Arabidopsis thaliana: one gene and its partner. The protein of the gene in region 1 interacts with the protein of each later gene in a pairwise test. Each region holds a gene or a part of one and is shown on either strand. Other genes may lie near its edges.

Region 1 (15,947 bases):
TTTAGAGATTTGTGGGAACAATACCTCTATGGGACAATTTTGGTAAAGACGTGCCTTCATGAATTTTGGTCCCATCTTCAATAAACTCATCGTCCCATTTCTTGTTTCATGAGATGAAAACTCACAATCTCCCAAACCTCCAGGCATCTCCATATACTTTATTATTATCATCAACCAAACCAAGAATTATTTTCATGGTATTAAGATAAGTTGGTCAAATTATAAAAAACTACTAGTATCAAAATTATTTTTGTTATTTTATTGTTAACCTTGTCCAGAACGTGAGAAGGCACGTGGGTTGTGTCGGGCAAGAAGGCGTTGAGGAACACAAGAACCTTAATCTTCGCCGGAAATATGTCGGCGGCGAGAGCGATGTTGATGCCTCCGAAGCTGAATCCAACCAGAATTACCTCTTCGTTCTCTGGAAGAGATTTGAGGGTTTCGATCAACGGTTTGGAGTATTCGTCGACGGTTTCAACGGCCTGGATTGGTCGTGGGTCGATCCCGGAGGCGGCGAGTTCGACAGCAGTAACGCGGTGGCCGGCTGATTCAAGGAGGGGCTTGAGCTTGTACCAGATCCAGGCTCCATGATAAGCGTTGTGAACTAACACGAAGTGATGTTTCCTCTCCATATGTCTCCGTAGACGTTTTCTTTTTGGTTAAGGTTCTTTGCTTGTTTGAGAATAGCGTGATAAAGTTGGGATATGAGTATGACGTTATTATTATATAGTGATAGTGGGATAAGGTTCATATACGTTACGCTGTTAATAACTTCTTATGTTATGACACATGTTCAGATTTACTAGTCTCCTCGGTCGGCTGTTGTATACTTTTGTATACTTGTATTTAGATATATTTTAAATAAATAAAGCAGAATTCTGTAATCACACTTAGCTAAATTACATTAATTTTTTTGGACATTTAAAAAAATATATGAGTACATCACAGTTTCAATCTAATAACGGACCAACACATGTAAGATTTTGACATCCGCGATTAGATGGACGTAAAAAAGGCTTAATTAACGGAACTAATTGAACACGATAAACACGTGCCTGTTAAGTGTTAACCGACCTAATCTTCATATTGATCTGAGAATCTTCACAGCTTCCCTTCCTTCTTTGAGTCTAGCCGGCCCATGGGCCGTGAAACACTGTGACTGTGACTCTCTTTTATTGACTCATTTTAACCTTTTCCTTTTGCCTTTTGGTACCAATTTTTAACTTTTCCTTTGTACAGGGAGATTCGCTTCCTTTTTTTAGGCTGGCCATTTCGTCTTAGTGAGTGGTGTATAGTTGGCCATTTCAGTCAGCTGTATTATAGCCTCATTGTCAATGATGTCGAAAATCATTCCTCAATTTACACAATGGTTGTCAGGTAAAAAACAACGAGAGTTGATAAGTAGATTTAGGAGGGAAAAAAGAAAAAGACAATTTAGTTAGTCTTCTTTTACATCCACGTAATTAAATAGCACATCGTTCCAAACATCATTATCAAAGTTCATTAGTTATTTAGGGAAATTACAAGTTGCACGGAGAAAAAGCAGTTCGTGGACCAACATTGGACTTTTCTTTCAGACAAAGGCCATTAGCGAGCGAGAGTGATAATTGCGAAATTGCCAAAAAACGCAAAGTCTACCACTAGACAAGAAAATCGAAGCTTTTCACTTTCTCTTTTTTCTGTTTTGTTGTCTTTGGTTCTACTCTCCGCACTGAATCTTTCGATCAGCGATAATTGTTTCCTTCTTTTGGGATTTTCTCCTTGGGTACGAGGTTCTTTCCTTCTTTTATTTGCTCTGTTTTTGAGATTTGGAATTGTTATCAAGTCTGACAAAATTGGTCACTAATCTTTCTGGGAAATTGAGCATGTTCGTGTTCTTGCATCCGTTTGACTCTTTTTCTATGCAAAGTCTCAACCTTTCAATAGTGGAATTTATTCTTATCCCTAATTTCTCTTTACCAGACCTATTTTTAGCTAAGTTTGGTTGAATTTAGAAAGTCTTTGATTCATAGTTGAAGAGATTCTCTCCATTAATCTTTCTCTGTAATGTGTCAGATCCACTAAAAGTAAGTAAGAAAAAGATTTTGTTGTAATGTTATTAAATGTGTCTTTGTAGATGGAACCAGCTCAATTAATGAGATGAGATGAGAATGTTCAGCTTGCAGAAGATGGCTATGGCTTTTACTCTCTTGTTTTTTGCCTGTTTATGCTCATTTGTGTCTCCAGATGCTCAAGGTGATGCCTTTTCTTACTTTTCAACTGCTATTTTGTTGCTCTCATTTCTTGTTTCGTTTCTGGTAATTTCTGAGCTTGTTCAGGTTGAAGATTTAACTCTATGATTCTTTGCTTTTCCATTTTCAGGGGATGCACTGTTTGCGTTGAGGATCTCCTTACGTGCATTACCGAATCAGCTAAGTGACTGGAATCAGAACCAAGTTAATCCTTGCACTTGGTCCCAAGTTATTTGTGATGACAAAAACTTTGTCACTTCTCTGTAAGTTTAATGACAACTCTGAATTAGTCAATGTTGTTTCCATGTGAGAAGATTTATATTCATGTCATTTGTGATTGCAGTACATTGTCAGATATGAACTTCTCGGGAACCTTGTCTTCAAGAGTAGGAATCCTAGAAAATCTCAAGACTCTGTAAGTGCTTTAGATTGAGTCTCTCTTTTTGTCTGAAATCCTAGAACATAGATATTAGGTTGTGAGCATTTCGCTACCTTCTTTTTATATATAGTACTTTAAAGGGAAATGGAATTACGGGTGAAATACCAGAAGACTTTGGAAATCTGACTAGCTTGACTAGTTTGGATTTGGAGGACAATCAGCTAACTGGTCGTATACCATCCACTATCGGTAATCTCAAGAAACTTCAGTTCTTGTAAGTAGTTCCGCCTCACAATGCTGTTAAATCTTGCACATGTTTTAAAACATTTTTAAGACGTAGAAAAGGATTACTCATGTCTTTATTCACTTGTGTGTTGGCTAAACAGGACCTTGAGTAGGAACAAACTTAATGGGACTATTCCGGAGTCACTCACTGGTCTTCCAAACCTGTTAAACCTGTGAGTTACTGTTCTTTGTGTTTATGCTTACCATCTTTCTGGAAGCATCCTTGTCTTAATTCCATTGTTTGAAACTATGTTTACAGGCTGCTTGATTCCAATAGTCTCAGTGGTCAGATTCCTCAAAGTCTGTTTGAGATCCCAAAATATAAGTATGTTTGACTACTTCAAGTTTAATCTAGCATGCTCATTTCTTTAGCAGTAATTTGATCTGTTTCTAATCGACTATAGTTTCACGTCAAACAACTTGAATTGTGGCGGTCGTCAACCTCACCCTTGTGTATCCGCGGTTGCCCATTCAGGTAAACTACTTCACTTTGCGATTGCTCTGACCGCATTTTCTTTATTTTCAACCATTTCAAAAGTATGAAAGACTGAAAACATCTAATCTGCGGTGATAGGTGATTCAAGCAAGCCTAAAACTGGCATTATTGCTGGAGTTGTTGCTGGAGTTACAGTTGTTCTCTTTGGAATCTTGTTGTTTCTGTTCTGCAAGGATAGGCATAAAGGATATAGACGTGATGTGTTTGTGGATGTTGCAGGTCTGTAATATACCCTACAGGGAAACCTTTCTTTCGTATTTCGTATTTCGGTATGTTATGATGTATTGATATGCAGATTTGTGGAACTTTACTATTTTTCAGGTGAAGTGGACAGGAGAATTGCATTTGGACAGTTGAAAAGGTTTGCATGGAGAGAGCTCCAGTTAGCGACAGATAACTTCAGCGAAAAGAATGTACTTGGTCAAGGAGGCTTTGGGAAAGTTTACAAAGGAGTGCTTCCGGATAACACCAAAGTTGCTGTGAAGAGATTGACGGATTTCGAAAGTCCTGGTGGAGATGCTGCTTTCCAAAGGGAAGTAGAGATGATAAGTGTAGCTGTTCATAGGAATCTACTCCGTCTTATCGGGTTCTGCACCACACAAACAGAACGCCTTTTGGTTTATCCCTTCATGCAGAATCTAAGTCTTGCACATCGTCTGAGAGAGATCAAAGCAGGCGACCCGGTTCTAGATTGGGAGACGAGGAAACGGATTGCCTTAGGAGCAGCGCGTGGTTTTGAGTATCTTCATGAACATTGCAATCCGAAGATCATACATCGTGATGTGAAAGCAGCTAATGTGTTACTAGATGAAGATTTTGAAGCAGTGGTTGGTGATTTTGGTTTAGCCAAGCTAGTAGATGTTAGAAGGACTAATGTGACTACTCAAGTTCGAGGAACAATGGGTCACATTGCACCAGAATATTTATCAACAGGGAAATCATCAGAGAGAACCGATGTTTTCGGGTATGGAATTATGCTTCTTGAGCTTGTTACAGGACAACGCGCAATAGACTTTTCACGTTTGGAGGAAGAAGATGATGTCTTGTTACTTGACCACGTATGTATAATCAAATAATCCTACCTCGAAGTAGCTTCTCTCAAGCTTTATTGACCGTAATCTTTTGGATCTTTTTTTTGTTTTGGACAGGTGAAGAAACTGGAAAGAGAGAAGAGATTAGGAGCAATCGTAGATAAGAATTTGGATGGAGAGTATATAAAAGAAGAAGTAGAGATGATGATACAAGTGGCTTTGCTTTGTACACAAGGTTCACCAGAAGACCGACCAGTGATGTCTGAAGTTGTGAGGATGTTAGAAGGAGAAGGGCTTGCGGAGAGATGGGAAGAGTGGCAAAACGTGGAAGTCACGAGACGTCATGAGTTTGAACGGTTGCAGAGGAGATTTGATTGGGGTGAAGATTCTATGCATAACCAAGATGCCATTGAATTATCTGGTGGAAGATGACCAAAAACATCAAACCTTGAGTTTACTGTAAAGTTGCCAACTTCACTTTTTTGTTTTGTTCTTCGGTGAAGAAGTAAAATCAGTTGTATAAATCTTGTTTTTGTTTCATGATGTATCTTTTGACTTTAATAAATTCTGTGAATGAAAAGAACTATGATGTTTTGTTGACTTTTTTCGTTGACCGCAAGAAACCTTTTTGTCGTCTTATACTGTCAGGCCTATTACAAAGTTGTCGTTTATATGGGCCTAATATGGGCTTTTAAATACATGTTTTCTGTCCCAAGTTGTCCTAGTTTTGCCAACTCAATTTATGATTTTTTTTTTTAATTATATCACAAAATAAAGATTTCTGTATTCTCTGACATGAAAATTAATATTTATTATTGAAAAATCGTTGTTTTCATATTTGAATAGAAAACAAGAAGAACAAAAAATTAACATATTTTTAATCATCTCTAAATTGTGTTAGATACAATAGCAATGTATTTTAAAGATTTTTATGTTCATGATCGAAAATATCCAAAAATATTTAAGATTGAAGAATGGATAATAATATACATTATCCATTGACAAAAAAAATCTATACATCATTATCATTTGGATACGGATGAAGTAAATTCCCTAATTGCACAAGATCTTTACAAGCCTCGATTATGTGTCAATTCAACATTATAACAAAATTAATAATAATAAAATAGATTCAATGAGTGATTTTTCTATAAAACCTAATGAGAGATCACTTTATCTGACATCACATACTTAAAGGGCCTTGTCTTTTAATTATTATTAAATCTCTACTTGGCCTTTTTATATTATCGTTAGCCAGCCGATCACATGCTTCTTCACTTCTTCCATTATTTGATCGATCTTCTTGGCAATCAAATCAACATTTAGACTTAACCAATGATATAATGAAACAACTCAACATTCAAGCTCTAATATGTGTTGTTTTAGAGCAAAATACGTGGTCTTTCATATGTTAACATATTTAAACTCTAGTCTCTAGCTTTAATTTGTTTGATTTTCTGCTTAAAGATACACAAACTGCTCTTTGATTTTTTTTGTGTGTTTTCATTCACATAATAACAGTTTGTCTATTATTTGTTATGACATCTATATTCATACATGATCCGAATGTTATCACTTATCACCATGGAAGGAAGTGTAAAACAAAAGATTCAAATAATCAGCAAAAACCCTAATTATTAAATACCATACAACTACAACTACAACTACAAATGATATCCATTTCACAAAAATCTTATATATATATAAACTCTGTGCACAGAGACATATGCTAAAGAACATTGACAACAACATATGCATATGAGTATGAAATCTCTGTACTGTACATTCTACAACATGAGTTACAAATATATGATGTCTCTACAGTATTTATATATATATAGATAGGCAAATAAAAATCTCCAACAAGCACAATTCCAAGAGTAAATTTGATTTGAGTTCCTCCAAAGTACATACCTGAAAGTAAAGACAAAAGAAGGCTAAGGAATGTCGGAAAATATAGAATCATCCAATAGATGATCAGGCCATGCAGCTGAAGCTGAAGCTCCTGATTCTTGACCGCTTGAAGATGTGATATTGCTATTGACATCTTCAATACCGTATTGGTTAAAAATCAGATCATCATTCACATGAGCAGGAGTTGTGCTGGATGGATCCGAGAGCCAGATTGGAGACACGGGTAGGTTTTCTCTTTGAGTGGAGAATTTGAAGTGATTGTCATCAAGATTCTGGGGGAAAACAGATGATGGTTCCATGTTGGAATTTAGGGTTTTCAGGGAAGGTAAGCTGTGGAAGTCCTGAAGATAAGAGCCGAGGAAACCGAGGTCGAGATTGTTGCTGGTGGTATTATTACTGGTCTCTTTGAAAGAGGCAATAGAGTTAAGGAGACTGAGAGTGTCAAAGTCATTAGGGTTAACATTGTTACTCATGGAAGACGGTTGAAGAAGGTATTGGAACAATTGGAGTTTGGCCATCTCGGTTTGGAGTTTGAGTATAGTGTGTTCTTGATCAATAGGAAACTGTTGTTGCAGATCAACAAAGCCTCTCAGGTTAGAAGACAAAGACATGAGCTGAGATAAGCCGGAGAAGATATCGGTTCTTGGACGGTGAGTCATTGGATCAAAACCCATCTGAATCAGCTTCTTCTTCAAATGAGTGTTCCAGAAATTCTTGATCTCGTTATCTGTTCTCCCTGGTAACTGATTCGCAATCGTTGACCACCTTATAACATCATCATTCATAAGCAATCAGTATAAGATAATCTGGTACACAAACAAAACCGTTGACTAAAACATCAAAACAATCATCACAAGATTAATTACTTGTTTCCAAGAACTGAATGAAGATTCAAGATAGTCTGTTCCTCGTCCGGAGAGAATCTCCCTCTCTTGATGTCTGGTCTCAAGTAGTTCGTCCATCTTAGCCTGCAACTCTTCCCACACCTGTTAAGACCTGCACAGAGAGAATCACATGAGAAGCTTAGACTTAAGACAAGCTTTCAAGAAAGAAAGAACACAAAAGCATTACCAGCGAGTTTGGGAAGGGCTCTCCAGCTACTATGACCATGTTTTTGAACATAGTTGACAAGTTTCTCATCTTCATCAGGAGTCCAAGGACCTTTCTTGAGACCAGAGTCATCAGAGATAGGAGATCTTCCCATGTTAGATGATCTTCTCTTCTCTGTATCTAAATCAACAACGGTTTCTTTTTCTTTTCTTTCTTCCTTCTCTATACTGTTATAATTGTCTCTGAGATTTGGTTGCTTGCCTCCTTCCTTCCTTCACAACCACTAACTGCTTCTTATTCCAATTTATATTAAACCTAGCATCCTTTTCTCTTCATGTCCATTCACCACGTGCTTCTTTCCTATTCGCCTACCAAAACAACCATGTCACTTTCACCTTTCAATTCCATTTTTCTAATCATTTTCTTTTATACTCTCACATACGCATTCCTTTACCAGTGTGATAAAAATCATTCAATGTAAATTCTTCCTCTTGTCTTAAAGCAACATCAGTATCATCTCGGGAACAGCCGTCTCCAACGGACAAACACATAACAATCGATTTGTTTTTTGTCTTTAATTGGGAAGCAGTTCATTAGTTGCCATCACTATGCCCTAGTACCAAACCCCTGCATTTGTCAAGAAGAATAACAACAACACATAGTTATTGCTTGGTCTCTTCACAATCCAAAACTCTAGTCTAGGTTATTGAATGGTTCAGCTCATAAAAAAACACAGATCAACTAAAAGCAAGAAGGTTAGATCATCTTTCTTATGAAATCCATAAAAGATCTTCTCCGAGTAGGTGATGATGGAGGAGAAGGGCAATAAAGGATATTTGACAGGAGGGCTAAACTTTTAGGTTGTATTTTTTAATCATTGGAATGACAAATAAAATGAGAAAGAATTTGTGAAATATAGAAGTCAGCGCCAACAACACATGGCAACAAGAGGGTGGCCAAAGAAGAGACATCTCCTCTGGCACGCAAAATTAGGTTTTCCTCGCATCATCCATTTCCATGGCCTATTAGTTTATGCATTTAATATTTCATATTAGCTATATTTTTATTGTATTTTTCTACATACCGATTAAAGCTATGATCAACCAACTAAACAAAACGGAAGGCAATGAACCCTAAGAGCTTGCCGCTGAAAATGAGAATCTTTCAAAAAAGTCCTGAGAGATTATTAAAGCAAGTAAAAGATGTAAAGTGGTCCAATAGTGTAAAAGAAAAAGATGCAGAGTGGGTTTGTTATGACCGTGTAAATTTCTTGTTTGACACATCATGATTAAGTCCATATATAGCAAATTTTAAGGTATTACTTACAGAGATTGCCAATCCCTAAAATGCATTTTTCTAGGAAGAAAAGATACCAAATGAAGAAACCGACAGGAAAAGCATACACTATATCGTTAGAAGAAAACTTGTAAGATTATGTTTTGTATCATTTTGTGGCAATACATAAGAAAACTTGTAAGCTTATGTTTAAAATCATCCTTAATTATTTCCTAAGCGCATTCAATGAAATTTCAGCGAGCAATAGCAATGGACAGATCAGAAAGAATGTCAATGTAAGTCAGGGGCAAGTTTGGGTATAATCAGAAGAAGTACTTACTATTGATGATGGTGACAGGCTTGATATGACAGATTTTGACCACTAGGGAGGAGCTGGTTAGGGGAGAGGTGGGTGCAGAAAATGATCTAAATCTCCACCATCTTTAAAACCTATAAGACTTTCTCCCTCAGCCTAAGTATTGCACCCAATGGCATATCTTGAGCTCTTGTCTTTTTCTTCTGTGTCTTCTATATAATGAAGATCACAGGTTCCGTGCACAAAATTCAAACTGAACGACATAATATCAAGAAACAAAATCTAATTAAGAAATAGAGAAAAATCAAACAAGAAGATGTTTTACCAAATGAGGGCATCAAATCTGTCAGTTTCTAGAAGATATTTTAGTGTATTCAGTAACTGTAGCCTGTAGGTGAAAGTGAAATGTGATACTCTGACTCTCTGAGCAGGTTTTGTATGGATTTGCATTAACATATTTTCACTCAACTCATTTTCTACCTTCACTGCAAATATAAACATACAGATATACATGAAGCTTGACAAACTAACATTGCCTAGAGAACCCAAAAATTATAACGTTCCTTATATATATAGAAGATTATAAAGCCATCTATCAGAAGAGGATTAATAAAAGCCATTATCTTAATTTTATTTCATTATACATTGAAACTCCATGGTAGCATCTGGATGTACACTATGGTTTTCGTTGCATCATATTTGAGCCTACGACTCTAGAAGTATCATCAGACCTAGGTAACAGAAGCCTACAAATTAAAAAAAAAAAGACGAAATAATTCTTACAAAAACTCAATTAAAATTAGGGAAAGAAAGATTATAATTGCTTGTTGAATTAGGGTTCCTCTCAGAGTGGAGGAAGCAGGTGAAGAAAATATTAAAGAATTAAGGAAAGCACTATAGGTTTTTTACAAAAGTATTAATTATGAAATATGTGATGTCACTTAAACCGTTCTTTTCCTCTAATTAAAAAACAACAACAACTTGGTTTTCATTGTCAGCTAAACAACTGAATTGCTTCTTCTCCTAAGTTTCAAACCAACGCGTCTAAAAGCTCGGACTTTCTATGTAACGAATGAAAATATTTAACCCTTGTATTATACCTATATATTGAATGTAAATGTGAAAAGCAAAACTCGAGATCATCTGCAAATATACCTTTAATCAATTTATGATACCAAGCATTTTGCAACCAACTTTTAAGTTCCACAAAATCGATAAAACACAAATTATAAGTTTGTGTATGAGGATTTATCTGCAGTAATGATTAAACTCTTGATACTTACAGAAGTCAGACGAAATTAACCAAGATGCTCGTGATTCGAATATCATCAGCATAGGTTAGGTTCCTGAATGAAATTCCAATGAGTGACGAGAGTGGTGACTGTAAAACCAAGAAGAACAAATATGAGACACACGTGTAACATCACACACGCATGCACACGTATATAAACCTATAATCTTCATGACCATCCTCTTTTTCAACTGTTCATATGGTAGCAATCTTATTGGAATACAGAAATTGGTTTCTATTTTATCTGTAGTAATCAAATTAATGATGGTTACGCATAGTCAAGGATTAGTTTTATATGATAATGATCTAAAAGGCATTAATCTTTTGAAACTCATGTATATTATTCAAATCTGAAAAGAGAAATTAACAAGAAATCACCGGTTCAACATCTTCTTGCTTACTCTTCATTTAGAATAGTAAATTAGCACATACTTTTCTCAACCGTTACGCCCAACATTGCTGGAACATCTGCTAGAAAAAAAGCATCGTCACAAGAAACCTCGAGAACATGACAAATAAGAAAAAAAGAAAGAACAAGAATGTCTACCATTAGTTTATATAAAGTCAGTCAAATATTATATGCCCTAAACTGTGTGGTCTTAAGCGGTATTTTTGTTAACAATCAACCACTAAATGTCATTTTAGGTGGCTGAACTTCTTTTGTCGTGGACATCGTTTTACAGCTCAAGACAGTGAAAGACATGGATGCTAACAACGGAAAAATATATATGTCATCCACGAGCTCTACACATATTGGATGCATTAATAGTATCTATCATTAAGTAAAATGTATCCATATATAAAAGGAAAAACAGATGAAGAGGAATTATAATACGAATAAAGTTTCACTATATGCAAAAAGAAGGAAAACTATAGAGGAATGTGTACCTATACCTAATGGGTCTTTCCTACAAAAAAAGTTGCTCAATGACAAGAGGTAATCTAGCTCGTACTTAGTTAGGTGCATCCGTGCATGTAACCAGTGTGTCAACTAAATCTAGAGGAAGCAATAATTCAGGATTTAAACCATCACAAGTATCTACCAAGTTCAGAACATAGACGAAATCACGAAATGAAAGAAATTATGATTTCACGATGTCATTGTTGACAAATTTCTCTAAATTTTCAAGAATAGAACCACTTCAGAAGATACACTATGAAGTTCAGAAGATTGTTTTACCAGGAAAGCCAATAGGATCACATCTCTTTCTATTCTTGTTCAAGAATTTGCATCTCCAAGACCCTTTTAAGGTATTCATATAATATTTTTTTGAATGATACTTCCTGCCAAGAAATAGATTCAAACAATTAATTTTGAGCCCACTGCATGTATTAGAAGAGAAGGTTACTATAGGATAGCATGTTGTACATTTAGGATTGTTTAACCTAAATTTTGTTAGACCAAATCTAAAAAAGCCCAAACTGAAATCATCATACAGAAAAACCCATGAGCTCAGAGGGGAAGAACTAGTAGCTATCATCAAATAAGAAAGTAGTTTAAAAAAAAAGTTAACTAGGCATCATAGAACAAGCCAGCGATTATGTTTATTTGGGTATATTATATAAACATATATCTTAATCATCAAATTAGAAGAAAGAAAATTATATATATGGGAAATAAACCTACCACTCCTCATCATGGTATATAAGCATCATCTGTCATGCATCTATTGCAAAGTGGTACAGAAAAAAAAGAGTGTTTAGAACTGAAAAAAGGATTAGTAGTGGCTTTATGATCAAGTCGGTTTTGATTGAGTTCACCAAGTTAGTGGTGCCTTCTCACTAAAAGCTTTTTATAGGGATTTTCATCAAAGGTCCACCTTCAGTACATACTAAGACAGATAGGCAATTATTATGGTTGAAAATAATGTATGTAAATCTTTATTAGTTTCACAAATCTGCACTAACATCTAGACAACTTGAACATATATCTTCTTGAACATATAAACTACCTTTTGAAATTTGAGTTTTACGAGGAAAACTAGACGAAGTTAGTGCAAAGTATAAACCAAACAAACAAGATTGTTTACTATAAACCAAAGAAACGAGATTATTTCAGTAAATAAATCTTAAACAAGTATAAAAAGTCCAGCTTTCACTTTGACAAATGGGGGACAAAAAAGGCACAGCTGAATAAAGTTTGTTAACTTTTACCAGTCATGTGATAAAGGTGGAAAGGTAGATTTCTGTCAACTTTTTCATGATTTATGTGCTTGAAAATATGACATTCCCAAGACAGTCCCTTTAACATCACCAATCAATATAGCTCAAAACCAGTGATAAAACCATACAATTTTGAAATACTCTTATCATTGTAAGTTTATATGTGCATGGAGAAACCACATTTGCTTAAATAAAAATTGTATAGAATGAAGTAAAACTAGTTAAAGATTAGACAAAGATATGGGAACTAAAAGCACCAACAAACCTCAGAACCTAAGAGAGGTGGCCACACCACTCGCCGTTTATGTTCTTTGAGTTCATCGTTTCACTCACCAGCAAGCATCAAGCAGAAGACAAAGAGAAAATCTGAAAGACCCTGTAAAAATAACATTGTTGCTTTTAAGAAGGTAGTAGCTAAAGCAAACAGGCTAAAGTGAATTATCTTTTCACGAAAGTGTAAGAGTTTAAAGACAAAACCGGGGAAGCTTTTTGCATGAAAAAGTAAGCCACATGGCCTGACTCAAAAAAGTACGAAGATCTCTGCATGAACATATACGTAAAGAACAGGATACACAATAGAATAATCTTGACAAAAGCATCATAAAAAGCTGTGCGAACTCTAAAACACATGGTTGGGGTTGGTAATTAAGTCAGGTCTTTAAATTGAGTTCCAATAAAGAAAATAAAGCTATCCAGGAGCAAACCTTATAAGTCACCTTTAGATCTGCTCTTTGTCCTAAACCTTTTGTATTTATTCTAGATTAGTAGCACTTAACATTAAGTAAACACTAACCTATTCTTTTGAGCTTCACAATTGTCCCTATCTTTTTCAGAGACACGGAAAAACACAAATTAAGAATTTCATCCAAAAATAATAATAACACTAAACAAATGATGATACAGTTTGAGATGCATGATTAGAATCTGTTAGTAAACTGTAGACTGATGGATGTGAACAACACAACGATTGCAGATGCCAACCACAACTTAAGATAATTCTTACCAAAAAAAAAAATCAATAAAACTTTGCATAAAAGTCTATAAATTTGACGATTTCCACAATATAATATTGTGGGCAGATAGATCTTTCAGAATACCTTTGACTTATACCCTCAGATAGATTATATTAGGTAAATCCTCTCATGGACTAGATCATTGCTAATTTGCTATTTCAACTGTTTAGTTTTCTAACAATTAGGATGATAAAAAATCTGGAAAACTCTCTTGTACATGAAGCAAACATGTGAATCAACACATTAACAAGCAGCACTCAACAACAACAACAACAACAAGACATCAGAATTATTACAACTTAGAATCCTGCAGTTTTGCTAGCTACCCCAAGAGGAGATGAGATACCTGAATTGAACTCTGGTTGCTGACCTTCGATAGCAAACTCCTACAGCTTGAAACTGAAACATGGTAACAGAGGCTTCTCATTGCCAATGTAGACTTAAATATGTGTTGCTTTGCATCATTTATGGACCAGAAAGTGGGATAGTTATACGTGTTGGACATAGAAGTCACAAATGGCTGACCACTCCCTTGAATTAAGAAACACAAGAATAAAATATCACTGAAATCACCAGAATAGTAGGAGATGGTAGAACAACTCCACTACGTAGTCATCATCCCACAGAAGAAAGTAGCTTGGAAGAGGAATGTTTTGGTTAGCTTGAAAACTACACCATCAGACAGAAAAATCAGTAAGTAGGATCATATCTCAACCCCATTGTGGAATATGAACCAAATATGCAAGTCAATTTCTTCTACAGACAGTGGATTGGATGAGAACATTGTTTATATATAGTCTTAACATTATTTTATCATTAGTTCATTTTGAAACTTCCATCAGTCAGATTCCCTATATATATAGTAAGTTCATAAAACTAAGAAGAAAAAGCCTATATATCTTTCATATCATTGTGGACCAACAAACTTAAACAAAACCAAAACATCAACGGATCAAGTTCAAGAAACATATATAGCACATACTTAAGATACTTATCTATCTTTCCCATCGCCCAAGTCGAACTCTAATATCGGTTACAAGAAAAAAAACCTAGCATGATTCATAAGAGATAAAAGAAATATCATCCATACGAAACAAAAGAAGGGAAGATTTATGTATAGGGTTTGATTCAAGTGAATGACCATAGAGAAACATTTTCCTAGAAATCACAAAACCCAAAATTAGACCTACCCACACCAAAATCAAACTTCCGAAATAACCGTCCTTCACCGATGTTAGCATGAAACCTAAATTGAATCGGGTGAGTTAGGAGTTAGGACCAATAGCCGATGTTAGGGTTTGACAATGAGTAGGGAGATAGTGAATCGTGTCTTCCTGTAGGTAAAGAAACCGAGATCTAGGGTTTGGTCGAGATTCGAATGTTCTCGTTCTTCCTTTGAACCAGAATGGTCGTGTACACGGTTAAATGGCGTGATAAGCACGCTAACACTTCAGGAGTAATCTGTTCCTATCGCACCTCTTGTCACAGACGGTGAACCCACTGGAAAACCTAAGTGATTTTCTTAATTTTCCCGCTATTTTTGGGATTTCTCAAATTCGCCTCCAATTTTATTTACGAAAATCAAATTTTATCTCGAGCAGTAAATCTAGGGCGTTCGAGTGTCCACTAGTTTTTCTCTTTCTTTATAATATATCTAAGCTTGAAAAATAAATATTAATCAAAATGTATGAATGTTTACTTTATAGAACAATTAATGTATGATTTTTGTAATTGCAATTTGTTTTTTTTTTTTGTGACTTGTGAGTGTGCTTGGCATTGGCATGTTAAACAATTTTGTTGTCAAGTCTTTTATGATGAGAAAGATACATAAGAAACATAATCCCATAATTCCAATTTTTAAAAAATGGAGTTTGTATTTTAATAAATACTTTTGAAAAGATTATTTTTGTTGTGGTATTTTTGAAAACCGGTCAATAAAAATGATATTTGATATTTCTTTCATTATTTTATTTAAATTTAACGGATGATCGCTAATTTACACCAACCGCTTGTTCAGGGTTAGACCGGTTCAAACCGGACAATTCATAGATTTAAACCGAAACGCTAATTACATAAATAAGCTGGGAAACCTACGGAGAGAGAGTTGTCTGAGAGAAAAGGAAAGCGATCGAGAAAGACGTAATTTGATCATCGGAGTAAAAGATATTGTTCGACAGTGGGACTCCCGGGAACGAAGATGGCGATGGCATCATTCGGGCAGCTAAATCTCGAGGAACCTCCTCCAATCTGGGGATCTCGCAGCGTTGATTGCTTTGAGAAGCTCGAACAAATTGGTGAAGGCACTTACGGGTTATTCACTTTCTCTTTAATTCAATTTCACTCTTTGGTTATTCAAAAGGCTTAATTTTTACTTGGGATTGATAAATTATTGGCCTTTGAAGCGATTTTTGATTGTATGATTAGGCTTTTACAATGCCTATGTTGTGTTGCTTTTAGGAGATTTGATTGTTGTTGTTTTGCTGTTGCAGTCAAGTTTACATGG
Region 2 (17,284 bases), on another chromosome or scaffold:
AACTGAACAAGAAAAGTTGGTTCTTGATACACACTTGGTTTCTGAGCTCCATTATCTGTGGCTCCTTCTCCAAGTTGTCTCCTGTTACATTTGATCAAATGGAAAGTTCTAGATTTCTGGATTGAACTAAAGTTTCCTGTAGAATTACATGAACCATAGAGTACTTACTAGCTAGCTGCAATGTTTCTCTACGGAGCTCATCTTTGATCTGACGGACAGAAACAAATCACGAAAAAATTAACGTCCAGAGACTATAACAAGGAACCAGAAAGCTGATGACATGATACAGGCTTTATCAAACAATATCAATGTATAGACTTGAAAGAGCACTAATGAATTATATCAACACAGAACTAAAGAAGCTACATATTCTTAGAGCTACAGATAAGACCCTCGGTTATCCAGAAACAACCGACTGTTTTAGAGACTATAACAAAGAACCAGAAAGCTCTAATTACTGGCAACATGTAGAAGATGACGCCATGATAAAGGCTTCCTCAAACAATATCAATGTATATACTTGAAAGAGCACCAATGAATAATATCAACACATAACTAACGAAGCTCCATTCTTAGGACTACAATTAATAGTAATACTCTTAGCTATCCAGAAACAACTGACTGTTTTAGAGACTTACATTATTCTGGACTTTGACCTGGTCAAGAGAGAGCAGAAATTGCTGATACGCATCTTTGTCAGAGAGAAGCTTCCTGAGTTCATCCACGCTACAGAAAAGTATACACTATTCAAAAAGAAGACATACAAAAAAAACGCACACTCGAGAGAAGGATAACAAACAAACAAACAAAAAGAGCAAACCTTTTGTCTTTCAAGAAGACGATAATGCCAGCTGCTTCACCCGGTGATACTTGTGCTGAAATCTGACCTGAACTTTGAGGCCGGGATGAGCTTGGCGAGCTAACTAAAGAAGGCGAGTACCATGGCGACTGTGAAGAAGCTTCCTGAGGACGAGATTGCCCTTGTTGTTGGTCTTTTGATCCCCTTCACGTACACAACAAAAAAAAGAAACATCATCAACTAACTATCTCAGCTTCCAAGTTAATATAATACATCACCTCATAAACTTGAAAGGTGCATTTATACAGCACATCATTGTAAACCTAATATCAGTAACTATGAACCCTAAATCAGTAGCTGAGCAAAATCTACACTTGTCAATTCACCTCAAAAACCTCAAATATATCATTATAGCTCAACAAACTACACAACAACAAGATTTCCTTAATCGCTAACAGACCTAATGTCTGGATCACGCAATTTCATCAATAACATATGAATCAGATGGCAAAAAATTCGCAAAATCATACCAGAAATTGAACATCGTTTCTAGAATTCGCCGACTAACGAAAGGAATTGACTTTTTCTTGTTCTCTTGTACTTCTTCTTCCTACCAGATCGACAAAATTTAACAACTTTACAGAAACAGAGTTTACAGAGTTTCAAAGAAAATTCGATCTTCTCTGTTTCGTTTCAGATTTTGCTACTTGCTTTTAAAAGGCCCAAATACGAGGAGGCCCATATTAAGTTTTGATTAACAAAACGTAGTCGTTTTATGCATCGTCGTCCTTATCCACGCGTAACGGTTCGCGTTTCTACACAGAGTCAAATATTTCTGCACGGAAGCTTCGAAAAGAGGTCATCAATGGAGTCTTCACTCTTTTCTCCATCTTCCTCTTCTTACTCTTCTCTCTTCACTGCAAAACCTACGCGTCTTTTATCACCAAAACCCAAATTCACATTCTCCATCAGATCCTCCATTGAGAAACCCAAACCCAAACTCGAGACCAATTCATCGAAATCCCAATCATGGGTCAGTCCCGATTGGCTCACAACACTCACTCGTACCCTTTCCTCAGGAAAAAACGACGAGTCAGGTATACCAATCGCGAACGCGAAGCTCGACGATGTCGCTGATCTCCTCGGAGGTGCTCTCTTCTTACCTCTCTACAAATGGATGAATGAGTACGGACCCATTTACCGTCTCGCTGCTGGTCCTCGTAATTTCGTAATTGTGAGCGACCCAGCGATAGCTAAACATGTTTTGAGGAATTATCCAAAGTACGCTAAAGGCTTAGTCGCTGAAGTCTCTGAATTTCTATTTGGTTCGGGTTTCGCTATCGCTGAAGGACCTCTTTGGACAGTAATTTCATCTCCTCCTATCTCAATTTTGAAGTTTTTGGAATTGTGGAAGTAATGTGTGACTGTCTTGTATGATAAGTAACTCTAATTTTAGGGTTTAGATTCCAATCTTCTCTATTGGGCTTAGCTGAAGTCTGATTTTTTACATAGGCGAGGCGTAGAGCGGTGGTTCCATCGCTTCACAGGAGGTATTTGTCTGTGATTGTGGAGAGAGTATTCTGCAAATGTGCAGAGAGGCTTGTTGAGAAGTTGCAGCCTTATGCAGAAGACGGAAGTGCTGTGAATATGGAAGCGAAGTTCTCTCAGATGACACTTGATGTCATTGGGTTGTCTCTTTTTAACTACAATTTCGATTCTTTGACTACTGATAGTCCTGTCATTGAAGCTGTTTACACTGCTCTTAAAGAAGCTGAGCTTCGTTCTACTGATCTTCTGCCATATTGGAAGGCAAGTTTCCTGTGTTTTTTCTGTGGTTTGTTGATTGTGTGGAACAATTGGATTCTTGTTAATTGAGAGGGTTTGGTTGTTTTTTTCAGATCGATGCATTGTGTAAGATAGTCCCGAGACAGGTGAAAGCTGAAAAGGCTGTAACTTTGATAAGGGAAACTGTTGAAGACCTTATTGCTAAGTGTAAAGAAATTGTCGAAAGAGAAGGCGAAAGAATCAATGATGAGGAGTATGTAAATGATGCTGACCCAAGTATCCTGCGTTTCTTGCTTGCAAGCAGAGAAGAGGTTTAAACTTTTTTCCTTAAGTTTATAAGCAAATTTGGCCTTTCATTATCGCATAATCGAAGCTGATGTTGCATTGTGAGGGTTTTCAGGTATCAAGTGTGCAGTTACGGGATGATCTTCTCTCAATGCTCGTAGCGGGTCATGAAACCACTGGATCTGTCCTCACTTGGACACTTTATCTCCTAAGTAAGGTACCTTAATGTATCTTCTACTTTGCTATGCTAGAGAATTTACTTGGATGGGAGCTTCTCTGTTCTCATTTACCTCTTCAAATTCTCTATGTTCATAGAACTCATCTGCATTAAGGAAAGCACAAGAAGAAGTAGACAGAGTGTTAGAAGGAAGAAACCCGGCTTTCGAGGATATAAAGGAGTTGAAGTACATCACTCGTTGTATAAACGAGTCAATGCGTCTCTATCCTCATCCTCCTGTAAGCAATCAAGCTCATCTCTCTAATTATTCATGAACTAAATTTTCTGATTGATTTGTTTCCTGGTAGGTCTTGATAAGAAGAGCTCAAGTTCCTGACATTCTTCCTGGGAACTATAAGGTCAATACCGGACAAGACATTATGATTTCAGTCTATAACATCCATCGTTCTTCCGAGGTACAGTTCTCTTCCTTCTCTCGTCCATAGTATAACATAGGGGAGCCTAATCCTTCTCTTCAATGATCTTTGTGTGGTTCGGATATCTAACCGGAGTGGACATTCCTAGTATTACATTCATGCCCACATTTCTTATGTGTTTGTTGTTTGTTATTCCAAAGGTATGGGAAAAAGCTGAGGAATTTCTGCCTGAACGATTCGACATAGATGGCGCAATCCCTAACGAAACAAACACTGATTTCAAGTAAACTCAGTAGAACACATCTTTTGACACAAACTACTGAATCAAGATTAGTGGTTTTGATTAGGGAATTTAAAAGATGATTTTCTTTTTTCACCAGATTCATCCCATTCAGTGGAGGGCCTAGAAAATGTGTAGGCGATCAGTTTGCATTGATGGAGGCAATTGTGGCACTCGCGGTGTTTCTTCAGCGGTTAAACGTTGAGCTGGTTCCTGATCAGACCATTAGCATGACCACAGGAGCAACCATACACACCACCAATGTATGCCAATGTTCTCACACTCGAGAGATTAATGAGAGTGTCTGTTTTGTTTAGAATGATTCCAATTTCTCTAATGCTGATATTTTCAATTTCAGGGATTGTATATGAAGGTGAGCCAAAGGTAAAAACCAGAATTTATGTTTTCATGATAATTGATTGGTGTGAATGGACTTGTTTCATAGTACTCTTGAGAAATAACCACAAAAAAATGAATTATGGAAAATAGTTGTACCATCGGAAATGTGAATTTTGAACAGTGAGATGCTAGTACCATTAAAGTTTGGTAATTGTGTTATCATTTCAAATCAAACTTTCATACAGCTTGTGTTTGTTCTCCATTTTTCAGTAATTACGAAAATCAAAATTTTATTTTTTTTTGAATTTCTAAATAATAGACTAAGGTCTAAAACCATCCCATTCCATATGGACCACACGTAACATTAACCTTAAAAACCATATAAAACCATATAAAACCAATACTAGTGGGTTCTATAGCGATGTGTAGTTTCACTTTCACGTACGAGGAAGATTAAAAAAAATGGAGAACGAAAGCTCAGAGAGTAGAAACAGAGCTCGTCTTGCCATTATGGAGCTTGCTAACATGATTAGCGTTCCCATGTCTCTCAATGCCGCCGTGCGACTAGGCATTGCCGACGCCATTTGGAACGGCGGAGCCAATTCTCCTCTCTCTGCCGCCGAGATCCTCCCTCGCCTCCACCTACCATCTCACACTACCATTGGTGGCGACCCCGAGAATCTTCAGCGTATACTTCGGATGCTCACCAGCTACGGTGTCTTCTCCGAACACCTTGTTGGATCCATTGAGAGGAAATACTCTCTTACGGACGTCGGAAAAACTCTTGTAACCGACTCCGGCGGCCTCTCTTACGCTGCCTACGTCCTCCAACATCACCAGGTTTATGACTCATTTTCATTTTCCAAAATTGGAGTGATATATTAAAGGACTAATGATGGTATAATAAACTAATGTCTAAAACTTGTTGTGAAAATGATATATATTACAGGAGGCGTTGATGCGAGCATGGCCACTAGTTCACACGGCAGTGGTGGAGCCGGAGACAGAGCCGTACGTGAAAGCAAACGGCGAGGCGGCATACGCTCAGTATGGGAAAAGTGAGGAGATGAATGGTCTAATGCAAAAGGCAATGTCTGGCGTATCTGTACCGTTCATGAAAGCTATATTAGACGGCTACGATGGGTTTAAATCAGTGGATATTTTGGTTGACGTAGGAGGTAGTGCAGGGGATTGTCTGCGTATGATCCTTCAACAATTTCCTAACGTCCGTGAAGGGATTAATTTCGATTTACCTGAAGTTGTTGCCAAAGCCCCCAATATTCCTGGTGAGATTTTGTATTTATGATATATTGTACGTACGTTATTTTCTGAAAGTAAAAAGCTATTTTTAGTAATGTACGGAGTAATAATGGATGATATATTGTATGGTTTAGGAGTGACTCACGTGGGTGGGGATATGTTCCAATCAGTTCCTAGCGCTGACGCTATCTTCATGAAGGTTTGTTGTAACATTATTGTCTGTCACGAGAATACACCTACTAACATTTTTGCTAATAGGACGAATTCTAGTTTCTGTATATAGTTTTAATGTTTAGTGATATAGGTATAAATTTATAAGTCGCTTCGGACAATATGTTTGGTAGTATATAGTCTTAGTTATCGTTAGATCATGCGACTGGTCACTTTCATTTATTTATGATCATTTAAATATTGATTATACATTTCTCAAACCAAAAACTTGTGATCTGTTAGACCATGGATAGGGATCTCATGTTTGTTGAAAGAACAACACAAACAAATACACACATTTTTTGCTTCTCTGGTCCCAAATTAATATCTTGTAATATTGTTGTTTGAGTGTAAAGTGGGTGTTAACGACATGGACGGATGAAGAATGCAAGCAGATAATGAAGAATTGCTACAACGCGTTACCAGTTGGAGGAAAGCTGATTGCGTGTGAGCCGGTCTTGCCTAAGGAAACCGATGAAAGTCACCGGACTCGTGCCTTGTTAGAAGGTGACATCTTTGTCATGACCATCTATAGAACCAAAGGTAAGCATAGAACCGAAGAAGAGTTTATAGAGCTTGGTCTCTCCGCGGGATTCCCTACTTTTCGACCTTTCTACATTGATTACTTCTACACCATCTTAGAGTTTCAGAAGTAATATTCAAGCATTTTTCTTCTCATATTTCTAAAAGCTTCAAAATAATGAATCAAAAGACCTCTTTGTTAATTGAGTTGAGATATCTAGTGAAGACATTAATATTTTCATCAAGATGTAATAATCTAAAGTCTATATTCTAAGTGCATCCTTAAAAGGCATTTTCCATATATATAAGTTTCATCTTTCGAGAAAAAGGAAAAAAGACTCTTTAAGTGATGATTTCAAGAGTATTTCTAAATCACTCATTAGGCTAAGAGAAGAGTTCGAAAGTATACATATTATGCACATTATATCTATATGAATTTTTCTTCTTTGGCAAAAAGAAAAATCGTTTGGTGTTATTCTTATAAATCTTATGTCAACTTCTACATTCGATTTTTCTACACGAGACTCAATTGCTCCAAAACATCTTGGATTAAAATTGAAACGTTAATACTCGAAGATCCCTTTTCTTCCACAGCCTTTTTCGCCATTACTGCAAGTTCTTGAATACGTCTCCTTCGTCTCACGAATTCATTATCATCATCATTTTCGTCTACACGTTGACAATCTTGGTCCATCAAAAGCTTTATAGCTTTCACAACACTCGGTTTCTTGACCAACACTCCAAGTCTCTCCTCGTCTCCCCATCTCACCGGAATCTCCACCCCAACCCTAACCCCGATGTTCAAAACCTCCACGATGAGTTTCTCATTGAGAAATTGTTCAGCGAACAACGGCCATGTGATCATTGGTACACCAAAACATATCGCTTCTATTGTAGAATTCCAACCGCAATGAGTCAAGAACCCGCCGGTTGAACCATGTGAGAGTATCATAGCCTGAGGACTCCAACCCTTTATTACTATCCCTCTTCCTCTAACTCGCTCTTCAAAATTTTCGCGTTTTAGCCATTCGTCTAGCTCAATCATGTGTTTTTCCTCGGTCTTTATCACCCAAATAAAGGGTTTTCCCGATTCTTCTAACCCTAAACCTAGTTCTATCAATTGATTAGGTATTAGTCGACAGAGGCTACCAAGAGAAACATATAAGACTGACCTTGGTCTCATCGAGTCAAGAAACTGCAAGCATTCGGTCTCGCTTATTGCGATGTTACCATTACTTCCTCTATCGAATAGGTCAGCCATACGGTCGTTGCATAAAGAAACGGGTCCAACGAACCATACCTTCTTATTGATGGCCTCAGCGTAGGCCTCTGCATAGCCAGGCTCCAATTCCTGGAAGCTATTAACAATAACCCCAAAGGCTTCTGATTCAGATTCACGCATCTTCTCGCGAACGTCATCCATATTTGCTAACTTCTCAAAAGCACCAGGTAACTGAGCTCTAGCTATCTCAATCCTATGTGGCATTCCTGGTATAGGGAATGGCTCTACGGCCGAAGAAACCGAGAGGTGCGGGCTATGAAGATGGATATTGTGCGAACTCAAAAGAGAGAAGCAACACATTCCATGGAACACGATCCTCGGGATTTTGAACCTCTTTGCGGTTCTTGACGTCCAAAAAAGGCATTTATCGGAGATTATGCAACTTGGAGGGATATCTTGTTGCTCAAGAAACCGTTCCATGGGCTCTTGGAGTTTATCCACAGCGTCATAGAATCTTCGTAGGAGGTCTTTGGAGGGCAAAGTGTCCAGAGTCTCACAATCTTTGGGAAGACCGAATTCTTTGTAAGGAATTGGAAATTTAACGACATTGATTTCGAGACCCGACTCTAATCTTGCTCGGTCAACTGTCTTCGCAAACCTAGAAGCATTTTGAGGGGTTGTAACTATGGTAACGATGTTGCCTTGTCGTGCAAGAATCTTGGAGATGTCGACCATGGGGATCAGATGCCCTTGAGCCATGAGAGGGATCAAAACAAAGTGAAGTCTTTTGGCTTTTGAAACTATTTTTGATTCCATTTTTGGGTTTAGCAAATGTTTATGCATATACAAAATTCGACAATGTGTATATACGTGTGTGAATGCATCTGGTGAGAGACCTTTAATTAATTGGGAAAGTCATCAAAAGCTGTATATATATACTGACTTTGAACAAGTCACCAAAAAAGAACTATTGTTTAGAGAACCAATCATGTACCCTCATTCTTATAAAAAAAAATCGCTGACGGTGATGAGTTACGTCATTCATGACACTTAATGAGTTACATAAGATAAAACTTCAAGGAAAATATATATGTGAGGAAAACTTCAAGGAAAATTCACAAATGAAACAAAAAAAAAAATGTTGAGTTATCCAGTGAGATATGTAAATTTAAGTTAAAAGAATCTTATCTTAAATATTTATTAGTAAAACAAGTTAAATATTCACTGACACTTACGAAAAGACAACTATATATATAAAAATATCGTTATCTTAATTTGGTTTATTTTGTATTACGACTTCTGTATAAAGAAGTACCAAGTAGGTCAAGCTTGGCCGATGGGGCTGTTAGAGTTCCATTGATTATGGTTTTGTCTCCACCTAAAGATAGATTATTTGTTTGGTTATCACATGATCGATCACATCGTTAATCTACATGAGTTTCATTTAATTTCTTTCCGGTGTGTTCAAAGAGATCGATTTGTTAATGCAAATGAAATCAATTTAAAATTAGCACTCGATAGAATTTCAACACATTTGTACAAGAGTTCACGTTGAGCTTTAAATTGAACAAAAGAAGAAGAATTAGGACTTCTAATTTTATACAAAATGTGATTTTATTTTCCTCATAATAAAGAGTCTTTTTTGCGTAGGTTTAGGTTCACGGAGTTCCTGTTTTTCTTTGTTCCAAACATTGGTTCCAAGATCGCATGAAAGAAAGAGAGAAGGAAAACAAAATCAAAGGCGCTATCTCAAAGTCAAGATAGATTGAACAAGATATGATATTCGATATGTAATTTTTTAATTTATATTTTTGGAATCAAATTCATCTGGTTGTAATGAACGAATCTATAACTTTTTTATTTTTTTTGGGCAAACGAATCTATACTTTTGATGCGAAATGATTGAGATATTCTATAAAGTTATTGTCTATCAGAATATGTATACTAAAAAGATTATTTTGATGACTAATTAAGAACAAGATAATGTATGGAAAGAAAAAAAGATAATGAATGACAACTTGGATATATTTTTATATATTAATGTATGATCTCAACCCTCGGTTATGTAGGTTGCCCATCGAAATATATTGGAGATTAAGCCTTTAAAAAAAAAAAATATATACATATATTGGAGATTGGGAAAAAATACTTCCCAAGTTTAATTTTTTATCATCAAAAGTTCATAAAATATTTTAAGTCAAGGCATTTCTACAAACTAATTAGGAAACTATATACCTAGCTAGCTAGCTTTTAGCCCAAGAAAATCATATAGTTGTGATAGTTAATTTAAGCATTCGTTTTGAATAAACAAACACCAAACACCACGGCATATTTTCCTTATCTTTTTAGAGTTCCGTCTGAAAAGGACATATTTTTTTGTCTGCATGAAAAAGGACTCTTTGAAACGTTCAAATTGTGCGTATGTGGCGAACAAACCAACGTAAGACCAGTTCAACTTTTGGAATATTGGAGCATTGACGTGTATCACTCATACCTTTTGGGTAATCTTAATTTGTCTCTATATTGATGGGATTTTAAATATGAGTCCTTGTCATATATTTTTTTTTTTTTGATAAGCAGGAGGTTCGGGGCCTAGACCCTTAATCCATGCAGGGTCCGGAGAAAACCAGGTGAAAGTCTCTGGCCAAATAAAAATAACTAGCAATTTCACGCCTGAGGGGAATCGATCCCTGGCCTGGACCAACCGGGCAATTCCTGCTCAAGTGGAAACCAGTAGACTACCACCACTTGGTTTCCTTGTCATATTTACAACATGAATGGTATACATAGTATTGCTTTTCACAAGTCGTCTTCTACTGATAACAAGTTTCATTATTTTTTTTGTAATCAAATATTATTTGAACATTTATCTTCAAATGTTCTCTTTTCCGTTCTTGTTTTATGTCTTTGTTTACAACTTGTAAATAAAAATTCTAATAAACACACTATCATGTATATTTCATAGTTTCATTTAGAGCAAAACATAATATTTTAACACAAATGAATAAAAAAGAATCCGCTCTAGTTGAATTGTTTAAAAGTATATGACATAGTTTCACTTTGCAACTGTGTCTACGTATATATATTCATTTTGTTTGATGGAGCACGCCTATTTTTGCATAAGAAAAATACTGAAATCTCTTACTCATGTAATGTGTATCTGTCTTCAATTACCAATCATTGGTATTAGAAGACAACCATGGCTTTCACTAACTGCTCTGCGATCAGCTATGTACAAGATCTTCATATTTGACTAATTATATTGAGACGAATCAATCAATAAACTTAGACTTTTAATCAATAAAACTATATGAGAAAAGCAAAGCCACGTCCAAATGTCAAAAATGAATCAAATAAAACAACTTGCAAAAGAAGATTCACCGAAATTTTGAAAACAATTCTGCAATCTTACCCGGCCCTTAAAGGACTGACTAGTATGAGTATCATATATTAATCTAATCAAAATCGATGACTGGAAATATCTTCTTACGCAACACATTAACATGAAGATGATCCAAAGTTCCAAACTACCGTGCCAAAAAACTTGATTTTTCAAATATTTTTTAGCAGAAAACTGAATAGACTAATATTAAACGAAGAAAAAACGATTCAATATAAGTCATTTGCCGATGATCCTCTCTTGGTCGTCTTTGAAATACTAATATAACTTATTTTCTTCATTTAATGTGACAGCAACAGCAACCTCTTTATGCTTTTTAAATTTTATATGTTTAACTCATTGTATATAATTTGATGTTTTTGAATCAAAATATTAAATGGAGATGAGTTTTTGGTAAACTCTAGAGAAGATATGTTACCCAGGCCCACTAGACTTATATATGGGCTCTAAGTTTAATAACAAAAACCTATATTTTAATACATATGGGTCCAAAAGTATGAAACAAATTCTGTCTGGATATTGTGGATATATACAGCACAAAAGCACCTTTGACACATGAAACATTGTTAATCTAACATGGAAAATAAAACACTATTTTATAAGCATATATTTTGTTTTTCTCTGGTGCCAAATACCAAAATTTAAAATTGATTTTGTGATTGCTCCATAATATCTTGAATGAGCAATGTGATATTAGAATCTGAAGATCCTCCTTTTTCCAAAGCCTTATTTGCCAAGTCACTAAGTTCTGTAACTTTTCTTCTTCTCTCTTCTGCTTCTTCACTATCACCCATTAGCTCATCCACAGCTTTTCTCACACATTCTCTGCTCACCATCGCTCCTATCTCCTCTTCTTTTCCATATTTCATCAATTTCTCTACTCCTATCTTTAACCCTGCTTTTAGTATCTGCACAACTAACTTCTCATTCAAGAATTGTTCAGCAAACAAAGGCCATGTCAATAATGGAACTCCTGCAGTAATTCCTTCTAGTGTCGAGTTCCATCCACAGTGAGTCAAAAACCCTCCAATGGATGCGTGTGAGAGGATGAAAACTTGCGGCGCCCAACCTTTGATCACCAGTCCTCTATCTTTGATCCGCTCTTCAAATCCGCTTTGTTGCATCCAATTTGCTAAATCTCCATATTTTCCCCATTCTCTTATAACCCATATGAAAGGTTTATTAGATGCCTCAAGGCCTAGTCCCAGCTCTTTGAGCTGAGCCAAGGGAAGATTACATAGACTTCCAAGGCAAACGTAGAGCACTGAACCAGTTTCTTGAGAGTCAAGCCATTGAAGACATTGGTCTTGACCAATAGAAGCCTTATCTCCTCTTTTAGCTTTGTCTAACCCTAACCTATTGCACAAGGAAACAGGTCCAACGCACCAAACTTTTCCAGCCCTTGCTTTCCTATATTCTCTTGCATAATCAACCTCTAACTCTTCAAAAGTGTTCACAATAACACCATAAGAGTCATTATCAGCTTCAATAATCTTGGCCGTACTCTCTTTCATATTTCCTTCAACAGGTTGCAACACAGAGACCTGAGGTTTCGTGAACTCAACTTTGTCAGGCAAGCCGGGCAAATCAAAATACTCGTCGTTTGATTCTATCATTTTCAAGATCCCGCTTTCTCGAACCACTTGTATAGACATGAGGCTGAAACAAGAAAACCCATGGAAGATAAGTTTGGGGATCTTGAATTTCTTGGCAAGTCTTGAAGTGAAAGGAAGGCTCATGTCTCCAATGATGCAGCTTGGCCGCGGCTGAACCATCTCTTCCATAGCTTTCTCAACTTGCTCCTCAAGTGAGTTGGCAGCATCAAAGAACTTCACCATATCGCCCATTGAAGCCAACATATCTAAACTCTCGCACCCTTCTGGCAAACCCGTTTGTTGAGACAGAAACTTAACTTCAACGATGTTGATAGTCGCAAACAAAGAGGAAAATGAGAGTGAAGTCTTGATCTTGGCTACATTTTGAGTAGTTGTGATGATGCAGACAGTCACGCCTTGGCGCTGGGACAAGAGCCTAGAGATGTCGACCAATGGGATCATATGGCCTTGGGCCATAAAGGGTATTACGACGAAGTGAAGAGGATCATGAGAACACATTGTAGAAGATCTTACAAGGAAAAAAAAAAAAGATCTTTTAAGGCTTGAAAAGCAGGCCACTCTTTACAAATGATATATATAATACGATGTTGGAAAATAATTTATGTGTATATAGCTACGATAAAGTTTTAGATCACAGTTTGTTTTGACCCGTCTAAAGAGCCTGCGTAAGAAAATTATATTTTACTTTACCAAGAAAACTTTGAATTGAGTTTTGGTTCTAGACAGCTGTCCCAACCTATACGATGAAAACAAATCCAAAATATACAGACACAATATGTGATAATATTTTCTAATACATGTGAAAAATAGACCATAACATTTAGACTAGTGATGGCTTTTATTACTTACATTGACTGGAATCATTACGTTTTCTCCCCAATGCTGATTTGGTTATTTCAGAACCGACCCAAATTCTCATTAGTAATGGCCATGCCTCTCTTGGGATCTTGCTAACCAACGCTCCAAACACCTGAACAAACACTTAAACTTACAAGCATGTGTCTCCATTTTATCTTGAAGTTTAGAGTAAAAATAACAGTTTATAACAAAAAGGTTACCTCAAGTGATTCTCTTAGTTGGAACAATTCACAACTTCTAAATTCCTTCTGCATTAGATTTGCTCATTCACAAACTAAAGCATCACTCCGTAAGCCTCTTCTTGCCTATATCTTAAAACCCAGTAAAGGAAGAATAGTTCAGAAACAAATTCAACCACCAAATAGAGCTGCAATACTCAAGATATATCTCTTATCTCAGTTATTATATTTCTTAGAGGATATCTAAATTCTCACCAGAGGAAATCATTTGTTTCTCGAGTTCCTGGACTGCATCGAATATCCCATGAGCAGTATAGGTTTTGATCATAGTAGCAAAAGTGATTTTATCAGGCTTACATTTTCTCTCTTCCATTTGTATGTATAATTCTTTCATTGTAGCCAAATCACCAGCCTGACCATATGCATTGATTATGCAATTGAAGAACGGTGTATCCAGTACCACATCTGAATTCACAATTTGCCTCAAAACCGAATCTATCTTAACGACAAGACCTGCTTTGCTATACGCGTTAACAAGCGAACAATAAGTGATTGAGTTTGGTTTCACTCCTTGATACTTCATTTTCCTGAATACATCATCCATTTTCTCAATTCTTCCAGCTTTTCCAAACGTCTCAATCACTATATTGTAAGTGACAGTCGTCAGGGAGAAGAACCTTTTCTCCATAAAATCCATAACAGAGCACATCTTCTTATACATACCAGCTTTTCCAAATGACAGGATCAGTATGTTAAATGTAGTGATATCCGGTTGCACCCCCATCAGCTGGAACCGACTATACCAGCTCTCCATCTTCCTCATGTTGCGACCATTTCCATATGACCCAATGATCGAGTTAAGCGTACAAACATCCGGAAGAGAATCTCCGTCCTCGATCATATCAGCCAGAACACTTTCCATTTCCTCAAACATTCCAGCCTTTCCATACCCATCAATAATAGTATTGTAAGTAACCGTGCTGCATCCAACTCCAAGATACGACATCTCAAGAACGATACTTTTAACCAGATCAAACCGACCCAGTTTGCAGCAACAACTGATGAGAACAGTAAAGGTGAACACATCTGGCTTGCAGTCACTAACAGATTTCATATACTCAAGTGTAGAAAACGCCTTGTCTAGAAGCTCGCTTTTGCCATAAACAGAGATAAGAGAGGTATACACATCAATGGTTGGTTTCAATCCTTCAGATAACATAACTTCGAAAAGCAAGCTGGCTTGATCAGGCTGTTTACAATTCCCAAGCACTTTAAACAGCTTTGTATAAGTTTTGCATCTTGGTTCATACCAATGCTGCTTCCTAAGAAGATTGAAAATCTATAAAGTAGAGAAACAGGAAAGTGAATTCTATCGAATCTATGTCCAAGTATCTGTAAGAATGAAGAAGGATTAAAGAGCTGTACCTTGAGAGCAGACTGCCATCGATTCTCTTTGATAGCTTCGTCAAGAGCTTCTAGAACAGCTTTTGGCCATAAAGTTAAGTACTTTTCGGAATTGGCTTTCCTCTCAATGCCCTTCACAGCAGCATCTGTTCTCAGAATCCGAGACAATTCTTTCTTAGGATCTACTTGGTGTCTTGTTGAGATCAAACCAGAATTCATTTTCTCTGTACGTTCGTTGGGGACCTTTGTCGAACACATTGTGGGCGTTATTGAAATAGTTGGTATACACCGAAAATAAACAGGGGAAGATATATGTTGCTGAACCACGCTTCTGCAAGAATGAGAAACAGAGAAAGATAGATTTAATATAAACACAACTGAAGAATTAAAGAAACGTAAAATTCAAAACAGTATGATTGTATGAAATATGAGAATGTTACCGAGAAAAACCAAGTTGTGCGATCTCATTGGCGTACGCGGAAGTAGTTCCTTGAACAGGATTTTGTATCAATGCCATCGAAGAAAAATGGTAGAAAGATAAGGTGGAGAAAAAGAAACTGCAAATTTTCTGGGTAGAAAGCAGAGCTAGAAGACGACGACGATACCGTTGTTTTTCCTTCGTTTTTTTCTTCTTCTCCGGTTTGGTGTAGCTTCTCTTCGGTTTGTAAAATATAATGAAATGGTTTTAGTTTTGATTTGGATGCCGGTTTAATTTGGATTTACAAAATTAAAAATTTAGCATTAATCAGTTTTTTCTTGTCCGGTTTAAAGGATTGGATTGATGAAGGAAGAACCAAATGGAGCTTTTTCCAATTTAATTTTGAATTCGAATTTGTTAAAACGAGATTGTCCTTGGCAAGGAACCGGAATTTGGAAAATGAAAAACCAAGAACACAGTTGAAAGTTATCCACACTAGTTAGGACACGTGGAGGCTAATGTATTTCACGTGGACACGTGCTCATCACTCTCCTCTAAACGCCGTCGTGAAGTTTAAAGGTCAGAGACATCGGCCACCGACCAAATCAGACAAGGAAAAGTCAACGATTTGATTGGATCTTCTTCACTTATGCTTTAAAACCGTTCCTGTAATAAACTGTGAAGATTGTAAGAAGATTAACACGAATCAAGAACATCGAACTGTTGACTTTAGACAGAGAGAGACGGAGATGGAGTTTAGTGAGTTAAAGGAAGCAATAGAGAAGATAGAGCTCGTTGATGCTCACGCACACAACATTGTCTCTCTTGACTCATCTTTTCCGTTCATCGGAACTTTCTCCGAGGCTGCCGGCGACGCTTTAACCTTCGCTCCTCATTCTCTCTCCTTCAAGGTACACGACGATACCAAGTGTTTTTGCTCTAGTTAGTTTTCGTTTGAATCAGATTCTAATTAATGAAAACGTTAGCTTAAAGTTTCCTAATTAGTCTCAAAAGTATTAGTTAACTAAAGTTTCGAGTGTTACTCAAAAGATGTTGACTTGTTTAGGAATCTCGTGAAGTTGGTATGAATGTTTTTGGTTGTATGAATGAAACAGAGGAACTTGAGGGAGATTGCTCAACTTTATGGCACTGAAGTATCTTTAGAAGCGGTTGAGGAACATCGTAAAACCTCGGGTTTGGATTCTTTTACTTCCAAGTGTTTTAAAGAAGCTCGAATCTCTGCTCTCCTCATTGATGATGGATTAAAGCTAGACAAGAAACATGATATTGAATGGCATAGAAACTTTGTTCCATTCGTTGGTAGAGTGTTGCGTATCGAAACTCTTGCCGAGCAAATCCTCGAAGAGGAGTGTCCTGGTGGTTATTTCTATGGTTCTGAGAGTACTGAACCGCCTGTTTGGGATTTAGATTCTTTCACCAAAACCTTTGTTGAAAGATTAAATTCATATCCTTTTATCTTTGCTTTTTTAATACACGCTTAATGATTGTGACTATACTCACTAGTATTGGTTAACCTTGACTACTTCGGTCACGCTTGTTCCAGAGATTGTTGCTTTGAAAACTATTGCTGCATATCGTAGCGGTTTGGATATTGATACTTATGTGAGTAAAGAAGTTGCTGAGAATGGCCTTGTTGAAGTCTTGCGAGGTAAGATGGTTGTGCTTGGTCTATCAAGAAGTAACATAGTTGTTGTCTGATCACCTTAAAATCTAATATTGCTGCAGCTGGAAAGCCTGTCCGCATAGGAAACAAGGGCTTGATTGACTACATCCTTACCATTAGTTTGGAGGTCGCTGTGCGTCGCGACTTGCCCTTGCAGATTCACACCGGGTATGCAAGATTTGATCAACTATATGATTGATGTTAGTAAAGTCTGATCTTTTTATCAAACAAACCTTACACAGAAACAGAAACTCATGCTCAGAGGTTTGTAGTAATGAAAATTCTCCTTTTCTTTTGTTGTTTGAGCCAGTTTTGGTGACAAGGATTTGGATTTGAGGTTGTCGAATCCTCTTCACCTTAGAACCCTTCTTGAAGACAAAAGATTTGGAAAGTGTCGTATAGTTCTTCTTCATGCAGCTTATCCATTCT

What was found.
Region 2: the proteins of AT5G10290 (region 1) and LUT1 interact in a protein complementation assay, tested with the Arabidopsis thaliana proteins (one large-scale study listed by BioGRID).

Annotation. Positions count from the first base shown.
Region 1 is NC_003076.8:3,224,369-3,240,315, reverse strand, and holds AT5G10290 (leucine-rich repeat transmembrane protein kinase family protein), read left to right. Parts: upstream 1-1,507; 5' UTR 1,508-1,765; intron 1,766-1,917; exon of another isoform or gene 1,918-2,116; 5' UTR 2,117-2,144; coding exon 2,145-2,235; intron 2,236-2,361; coding exon 2,362-2,494; intron 2,495-2,574; coding exon 2,575-2,646; intron 2,647-2,740; coding exon 2,741-2,884; intron 2,885-2,996; coding exon 2,997-3,068; intron 3,069-3,154; coding exon 3,155-3,220; intron 3,221-3,299; coding exon 3,300-3,370; intron 3,371-3,469; coding exon 3,470-3,610; intron 3,611-3,712; coding exon 3,713-4,449; intron 4,450-4,539; coding exon 4,540-4,854; 3' UTR 4,855-5,058; downstream 5,059-15,947. Other genes in the region: MES5 (methyl esterase 5), read right to left, coding at 25-156, 270-632; MYB92 (myb domain protein 92), read right to left, coding at 6,360-7,101, 7,203-7,332, 7,408-7,540; CDKC;1 (cyclin-dependent kinase C;1), read left to right, coding at 15,642-15,754, 15,934-15,947.
Region 2 is NC_003074.8:19,691,148-19,708,431, forward strand, and holds LUT1 (Cytochrome P450 superfamily protein), read left to right. Parts: upstream 1-1,609; 5' UTR 1,610-1,664; coding exon 1,665-2,162; intron 2,163-2,311; coding exon 2,312-2,608; intron 2,609-2,697; coding exon 2,698-2,895; intron 2,896-2,984; coding exon 2,985-3,086; intron 3,087-3,184; coding exon 3,185-3,325; intron 3,326-3,394; coding exon 3,395-3,502; intron 3,503-3,663; coding exon 3,664-3,746; intron 3,747-3,843; coding exon 3,844-4,006; intron 4,007-4,101; coding exon 4,102-4,131; 3' UTR 4,132-4,544; coding exon of another isoform or gene 4,545-4,922; intron 4,923-5,031; coding exon of another isoform or gene 5,032-5,368; intron 5,369-5,476; coding exon of another isoform or gene 5,477-5,541; intron 5,542-5,908; coding exon of another isoform or gene 5,909-6,208; 3' UTR 6,209-6,395; downstream 6,396-17,284. Other genes in the region: VPS37-1 (Modifier of rudimentary (Mod(r)) protein), read right to left, coding at 35-81, 169-208, 639-726, 821-1,003, 1,330-1,343; AT3G53140 (O-methyltransferase family protein), read left to right, coding at 4,545-4,922, 5,032-5,368, 5,477-5,541, 5,909-6,208; UGT73D1 (UDP-glucosyl transferase 73D1), read right to left, coding at 6,589-8,139; UGT73C7 (UDP-glucosyl transferase 73C7), read right to left, coding at 11,338-12,810; AT3G53170 (LOW protein: PPR containing protein), read right to left, coding at 13,453-13,481, 13,605-14,688, 14,775-15,084, 15,194-15,270; NodGS (nodulin/glutamine synthase-like protein), read left to right, coding at 15,921-16,082, 16,287-16,636, 16,725-16,840, 16,918-17,023, 17,166-17,284. UniProt on the Arabidopsis thaliana protein: Heme-containing cytochrome P450 involved in the biosynthesis of xanthophylls. Specific for epsilon- and beta-ring hydroxylation of alpha-carotene. Has only a low activity toward the beta-rings of beta-carotene.